2 linked regions of the Lonchura striata genome follow. The protein of the gene in region 2 binds, or shares a complex with, the protein of the main gene of each other region. Links are inferred from orthologs where the notes say so. Each region holds a gene or a part of one and is shown on either strand. Other genes may lie near its edges.

The links. Proteins that work in one complex are often made in the same cells at the same time.
Region 1: ITPR1 (region 2) and CNN1 share a complex: the UniProt entries of both Homo sapiens proteins name them as parts of the cGMP kinase signaling complex. The link is inferred for Lonchura striata from reciprocal best matches to the Homo sapiens genes ITPR1 and CNN1.

The regions. Positions count from the first base shown.
Region 1 is NC_134623.1:1,330,578-1,334,319, forward strand, and holds the start of CNN1 (calponin-1), read right to left. Parts: upstream 2,184-3,742; 5' UTR 2,138-2,183; coding exon 2,103-2,137; intron 1,721-2,102; coding exon 1,654-1,720; intron 1,565-1,653; coding exon 1,427-1,564; intron 843-1,426; coding exon 732-842; intron 651-731; coding exon 504-650; intron 1-503. UniProt on the Homo sapiens protein: Thin filament-associated protein that is implicated in the regulation and modulation of smooth muscle contraction. It is capable of binding to actin, calmodulin and tropomyosin. The interaction of calponin with actin inhibits the actomyosin Mg-ATPase activity.
Region 2 is NC_134614.1:22,879,533-22,883,274, forward strand, and holds the start of ITPR1 (inositol 1,4,5-trisphosphate-gated calcium channel ITPR1), read left to right. Parts: upstream 1-1,350; 5' UTR 1,351-1,571; coding exon 1,572-1,597; intron 1,598-3,742. UniProt on the Homo sapiens protein: Inositol 1,4,5-trisphosphate-gated calcium channel that, upon inositol 1,4,5-trisphosphate binding, mediates calcium release from the endoplasmic reticulum (ER).

The DNA of each region.
Region 1 (3,742 bases), on a different chromosome or scaffold from region 2:
CCCTGCTCCGCTGTCCCCGGGGCTGCCTGGGCCACCGGCCGGGCCGGTGGCACCTCAGGGTCCCCGGCTCTGTCTGTCCCCGCTGCCCGCGGGCTCTCCGCTCCCTTTGTCCCCCTAACCCGGGACATCCAAGTCCCCTGGTGCCATCTCTCCCTGTGTCCCCATGCGGTGGCAGTGTCCCCCCATGGTGGCAATGTCCCTGTAGGGTGGCAGTGTCCCCATGGGGTGGCAGTGTCCCCCCATGGTGGCAATGTCCCTGTAGGATGGCACTGTCCCCGTGGAGTGGTAGTGTCCCCGTGTCCCCCGTGCTGGCAGTGTCCCCATGGAGTGGCAGTGTCCCCTGTGCTGGCAGTGTCCCCATGTCCCCATGTCCCCCCATGCTGGCAGTGTCCCTGTGGAGTGGCAGTGTCCCCATGTCCCCGTGTCCCCCATGCTGGCAGTGTCCCCATGGAGTGGCAGTGTCCCCGTGTCCCCCCATGCTGGCAGTGTCCCCGTGTCCCCACCTGGCTGGCGCCTTTGTTGGTGCCCATCTGGAGGCTGATGGTGGCCTGGTCCAGGGGCTGGTCCGTGCCCAGTTTGGGGTCGTACAGGTGCCGCCGTGTCCCGTACGCCGTCATGCCCTGCTGGCTGGCGAACTTGTTGGTGCCCATCTGGGGACAGCGACGGCCACGGTGTCACCAGCTGTCCCCAGCACGCCCCCCCCGTGTCCCCCCAGCGTCCCCGGGTGTCACCTGCAGCCCGATGATGTTCCTGCCCTCGCGCAGCTTCTCGGGGTGGAAGCGCCGCTGCTGCTTCTCGGCGTATTTCACCCCCAGCCCCACCTTGTTCCCCTTTGTCTTGGCCTGGCGGAGACCGTGGGCTTGGGGGGGGGCCTCACGGGGACCCCCGGACCCCAAATCCACTCCCCGGACCCCAAATCCCCTCCTTGGACTCCAAATTCCTTCCCCAGACCCCAAATTCCTTCCCTACACCCCAAATCCCCTCCCTGGACCCCAGATTCTTCCCCCAGACTCCAAATCCCCTCCTTGGACCCCAAATCCCCTCTCTGGACCCCAAACACCTTCCCCAGACCCCAAATCCCCTCCTTGGACCCCAAATCCCCTTTCTGGACCCCAAATCCCCTCCCCAGGCTGCAAATACCCTCCCTGGACCCCAGATTCTTCCCTCAGACTCCAAATCCCCTCCTTGGACCCCAAATCCCCTCTCTAGACCCCAAATCCCCTTCTCAGACCCCAAATACCCTCCCTGGACCCAAATCCCCTCCTTGGACCCCAAACCCCCTCCCCAGACCCCAAATCTCCTCTCCAGACCCCAAATCCCCGCTCTGGATCCCCCCCAGCGTGTGGCCGGTGTCCTCTGAGGGGACACGAGGACCCCCAGGAGCCCCCCGGACCCCCGGCCCCCCCCAGGACCCCCGGGAGCTGACCTGGCTGGCGAGGGCGATGAGCGTGGACTGGACCTGGGTGTGGTTGGTGTTCTCGAAGAGGTCGTTGGCCTCAAAGATGTCGTGGGGCTTCACCCCGTAGCGCGTGATGGCCCTCAGGAAGTTCCCGATGTTCTCCAGCTGCGGGCGGGGGGAGTCGGGGCGGGGTTCGGGGTCAGATCCTCCCCCCCAGAGCCGCCCCCAGCCCCGGTTTTGGGGGGTCCCCTCACCTTGTGCCAGTTCTGGACGGGTTCGTTCACCTTGGGCACCGAGCCCGGCTGCAGTTTGTTGATGAGCCTGGAGGGGCCGAGCACGGGTGGGGTCAGGGGGTGACCCCAGAGTGACCCCGGGGTGACCCCTGGGTGACCCCTGGGTGACCCCTGGGTGACCCCAGAGCCCGGCCAGGAGCGGGGTGTGGGGGACAGGCACGGCGGGGTTGGGGGGCTGTGCTCAGCAGGCTCGGGGTCAGCCCGGGTGAGGAATGGGTTAAAATTCACCCTCCGGACCGGGGCCGGTCCCAGCCCGCGGGGACAGAGCCGGGGACACAGCCGGGGTCCCAGCGGGGTCCCGGGGGTCGCACGGGGTCCCGGGGGTTCCAGCGGGGTCCCGGGGGTTGAACGGGGTCCCGGTGGGGGTCCCGGGGGTCGCACGGGGTCCCGGGGGTCGCACGGGGTCGTACTCGCAGAGGATGACGCCGTCCTTGAGCCCGTCCATGAAGTTGTCCCCGATCCGGCGCCCCGTGGTCCCCTCGATCCAGGCACGGAGCTCCCGCTCGTGCTGCGGGTCGTACTTCTGGGCCAGCTGCGGGGACAGGGACACGGGACATGGGGACATCGCCGGGGGGACACGGGACATGGGGACACGGGACACGGGACATGGGGACACCGCCGGGGGGACACGGGACATGGGGACACGGGGACACGGGACATGGGGACAGGGGACACGGGGACAGGGGACACGGGACACGGGGACACCGTCGGGGGGACAGGGGGACTCCGCCAGGGGGACGTGGTGGCACGGAGAATGTCGGGGACACCCTCACGGGGACGAGGGGACACGGGGGACATTGCGCCGAGGCCACGGAGGGTGCGGGGACACCGCGGGGGACACGGGGACACCGGCACGGGGACACAGACGGGGAACGTGGGGACACCCCAAGGAGGGACAATGGGGACACCCCAAGGAGGGGACACCCTAAGGAGGTGACAGTGGGGACACCCCAAGGATGTGACGTTGGAGACACCCCAAGGAGGGGACACTGGGGACACCCCAAGGCGGGGACACCCTCAGGGAAGAGGCGGCGGCCGCACTGGGGACGCGGGATCCCCGCTGGCCCCGGTTCCCCCGTTCCCGCGGGGCCGGAGGGAGCCGGGAGGGCCGGGGGAGCCCGGACCCCCCCCCGCCCCGCCCGGCCCCCCCGGGAGCCGCGGGCGACCGGGCCGGCCGAACCTTTGCCCATATATAGCCCCGGCCCGGGGCCGCCGCCGCCCGCCCGCCGCGCTCCGCCGCCTTATAAGGGCTCACGGCGGGGCCGGGGGCCGCCGGGCCCCCCCCGGGCCGCCGATCCCCCCCCGTTAACCCTTAACGGGCCGGTGCGCGGCGGGACCCCCCCCCCGCCGTGTCCATCCCCCCGCCGTGTCCGGTATCTCCCGCCCGCCGCGGGGCCCCCCCGGGCCACCCGAACCGCCCCCGTTAACCCTTAACGGGGCGGACACCGGCGGGACGCCACCCGGTGCTCGTGGGGGGCGTCCCGGGGTCCGCCCGCTCCGTTCCGGTGTCGCCCCGTGGCCTCCTCAGTCCCGGTGGGGGTTCCGGTGTCGCCGCCGCTTCAGCTCGGTGACCGTCACCTCCCGCCCGCCGCGGGCTCGGCGGTCGGCGGGGCTCCCCCGGTCCGCCGAGCCCACTCCGGGTTAACCCTTAACGGGCCGCACACCGGCGGGAGCCCCCGGTGCTCCCCGGTGCCGCCGTCCCCGTCCCCCGTCCCGGGGCGCACCCGGTGCCCGTCACCTCCCGCCCGCCGAGGGGACCGGGGGCTGCGGAGACCAACCCCCCCCCCCGCTCCCGGTTAACCCTGAACGGCCCGGTGCCCGGCAGGACCCCCCGGTGCTCACGGCGGGACCCCCCGGTGCTCACGGCGGGGAGCCCCGGTGTCGCCCCCTCCCCTCCCCTCCCTCACCCCCGCCGGGCACCCGGTGCCGGTCACCTCCCGCTTCCCGGAGGGAACGGGGAGTGCGGAGCTCCCCGGGCAGCCCAGCCGCACCCCCGGTGAAGCGGCGCTCGGTACGACCCCCGGGGGGGACACGCCGGTGCCGCCCCCCT
Region 2 (3,742 bases):
CAGGGGGTGCAATGAGATGATCTCCATGGTTCCTTCCAACACAAACCATTCTGGGATTGTGTTCTGTGAAAAAGATGAAATAGAAACTACAGGAACTGTAATTCAAGTGAGGAAAGCTGCAACATTCAGCTGTGGATTCCAAACTCAGAGGAGTTTCATTTTCATGCTTGTGGTTTTGGTTCTCAAAACTTGGATCAGAACTTCCTAGCAGCGTTCTATGGAGAATAAAATGTCAGTTGATATTCAAGTTAACCCTGTGGAGAGAAAATGGGTTGGAAATGTGCGTGGAAGTCTGTGGTACTTGGGGATTTGTTGCTTGTGGCAATGTGATTGCATCCTCATGTGCCAGAACTCCAACATGAAGAGTGCTGCAGGAAGCTGAGTGTTCCTAGCTCACTGATGATATTCCCTGGAAGTGTCCAGGGCCACACTGGGCAGGGTTTGGAGTAACCTGGTCTAGTGGAAGGGAGTGGAACAACATGATCTTTCAGGTCCTTTTCAAGCCAAACCAGTCTGTGCTCAAAGGAGGGGGAGTAGCTCTGAGAAATGGAAATTCCAGATGTTTCTGGGTTAAGATATTAGGTAATGCCTCTGCTTCTGGACTAATGTGATGCTGAGCTCTAAGGGAAGAGGCTTGGTTGGTTGAAGCCAGTGTCACAATGGACACAGGCAGTTCATCCTCTGCTCGTCTGGTGCTTGATCTTCTGTGGTCAGAGGATGATAATCTCTGAGCATGCAAATGGAAGACATTTCTGATCATAGGAGGCCAAAAATGGCTGCTGCTCAAAGGCTATACTTTGTTTTTTATTTTATGCGATTGTTTAGTAGCAGTTTTGCGTGAAACTTGTATAAACATTTCTTTTGTCCCTTGGCCCACCTGTCCACCTCTTCAAAAATTCAGAAATCTGCCAAGAAGTTGTGAAGAAGGAAGCTTTGTTTGCAGTCCAGCTCTGTCCCATCTGCCTCCCACTCCAAGGAGAAACACATGGCCACAGATGCAGGCTCAACCTCAGCTGGCTGATGGCGCTTGATCCGAAGGGTTAATTGGGAACTTCTGATTAAAATAATTAAATAACTCTGCAGTCCTTGGCCGCTCCTCTCTTAAGCGTTCAGCAGATTCGGATGCTAATGCTCGTGGGTGGTTCAGTATTTTGAACCTTTGCCTTCTGGAAAATTACAGTTGGGAGGCCAACAGGTACAAGGCAGCCTGGGAACTGGAGCCTTCATCTGTAACGCAGCCTGGCCCATCGGGGCTTTGGAGCTCAAAGTAGGTCCCTTGGCCACCAGTGGCTCTCCACACGTGCTCATCATGTGCTGGCAGTGGCTCCTCCTCTTGGGCTGGTTGTCCCGGGCGCTGAGGTTTTATCCAGAGCCGGGAGCCAGCGGAGGTGTCCGGGAGGGACGCGCGGCGCACGGGAGGGTCCTGCCTCGCCTCGGGGACAGCGCAGCCCTCGGAGCCTGCAGGGGCTGCCCAGCGGGACACCGGCCTTGGCTTCCCTGCCAGAGGGGACCCAGCCCTGCCGGGGGACGCCCTGCCCAGCCCAGCCCTGGAGACCGACAGAGAGCCCGCCATGGAGGAGAGGGAGCCCCCGCCGAGGTGCGCTGCTGCCCGGGGATGGGGATGGGGACAGGGAATGAGCAGCTGCAGGGGATGGAAGCTGCTCCATCGAGGCACAAGTGAGGAAACCGCTGGGTTCAGTGAGTGTTGAGTTTGCTGTGGGGTGCAGGAACCAGCCCCTGCTGCGCTGAGCCCTCAGCAGATAGCTGGCCACACCAAGTGACATTGGGACTGTTCCGTGCCCTCTTCTTCCCTGGCCATCCTTGTTCCTTGGCCAAGCTCCAGCTGGTGTAATAAACCAAGCTTGCTCTCTTTCCCCATGACTTTGGTTGTCCTGGTCCTTGTGGCGTGTTCCAGCTCTCTCCTGATTGAAATATGCTGGAAAACATTGTGTGCTCATCGGGGCCTCGTCCAGAGGCTGACATCCAGGCTGCCTCCTCCCAGCAGGGCTGGAGCCAGCAAGGATGGACTTCAGGAAGTATCAGCTTCAGCAAGTGCTCCTTGCTTTTAACAGGATTAGGAAGATGCTGTCAGGTCATACTTAGTTTGGAACAAAAAAATGTTCTTTTTCCCCTGACAGTGTGTCTCTAATAGAGTTTCTTTTTCCAGCTGTCTGCAGATGCCTGTCAGTAGGACCTGTCAGTCATGTTTCTTACCTCAGTCAGTGGCTGCTGTGTAAGGGATTGCTGTCAGAGTGAAACTTCCATGCTTTTGACTTGAATTTTCTGTATCTAGCTTGTTCGGTTGCACTGGGCAAATAATTAAAAAAAAAAAAAAAGCAAATGCCCTTTCTAAGGAGAAAAGAACATTGTGCACATTTGCTTTCCTGTACTGAGGTTTTATTGAGGTTAAAGTTACCAAAATGAGTTGCTTTATCTGTTTTCTTAACTGCTGTTGCACCTATGAAATAGTCACTTCAGAATAACTCTGTCACTGATGTGATAAAAATCTATTTATCTGTGGAGTGGCAAATAGTATGAATAGAACGTCATTAACTCGGCCCTCATCTTGCTGTGTGAATTTACACTTCTCTCCCTACTTATTTTTAGAGGAAGGGGAAGCGTGTGCTTGATTAGATGTGCAGTGAGTGATCTCCCCCCTGGGAGTGGAGGGGAGTGTGAGCTGCTGGATGGGGATTTGGGAGACCTGGATTCAGATCTGGGCCCCGACTCTGACCTGCTGCGTGTCCTTGAGAAAGTCACAGTGCTCTGCTGCTCCCTCCTTCCCCTTTTCCCCAGCCTCCATCTTGCCTGTTCAGCCTGGAAATTGGAAGAAAAAAAATCTGCATTTTAAGCGTCAGGAGGAAAAATACTTGGTCTGCGAAAGTGCATTTCTCCTCCTTAATCTAACGGTTCATCAGCCACCCATGTGTGGCAGACAGCAGCCTCCTGGACATGAAAGGTTGCAGCTGAAGGGAAAACAAGATCCTGTGGTAGATAAATGCACTGCACTGATAGTTTATTTTTTAAAGGGTAATCTCTGAAATGGAGCCCCATGTGCATAGCTGAACCCTCCCAGCGCTGTCCCTTAGCAGCAGGTGAGAGGATCCTGGTGTTCAGCACATGGCCTGCCCCACACATCCCAAAATCTCTTCATTTTCCTTTCCCTGGCGAGTGCAAAGAGCTCCTTTCAGATTTGCTAAGCAGAGGCTTTGCAGATGACAGAGCTCTGTCCTCAGCCCCAGCACGGTGATTATTCACCGGGTGAGCTTTTAAATAAAGCACTTCCTCCCCTCTTCAGCTGTTCTAATGGGATTCTTAGGAATCTTTCCTGGCGTCCTCGGGGAGGAAACCTTCTTTTTTTTACTGAATGAGAAACATCAGGTTTGGGTTCAGATTTTCAAGGTGGCTGCACCTGTGAAAATACAGAATGCTCTGTGGGTGTTATCCAAAAAAAACCACATAAAGTCTTGATTAGTCTGTAGGGCCAAATTTTCAGCCAAGTAATCTGGTAAAATTTGGATTTACCAGATTATCTAAGCACTGGATTTTCAGGATAATACAGTGTTTGGTTGCATTTTAAAAATGTTAATTTGCTTGGCCCGATTTATCAGTATTAATGACCCAATTCAATTTAATTCAAACACAGACTTACCTGGTCTTGGGGGTTCTCAGATCTGTTAATTTCTGTTAATTTCTGTTAATTTCTGTTAATCTGTTAATTTCTGTTAATTTCTGTTAATTT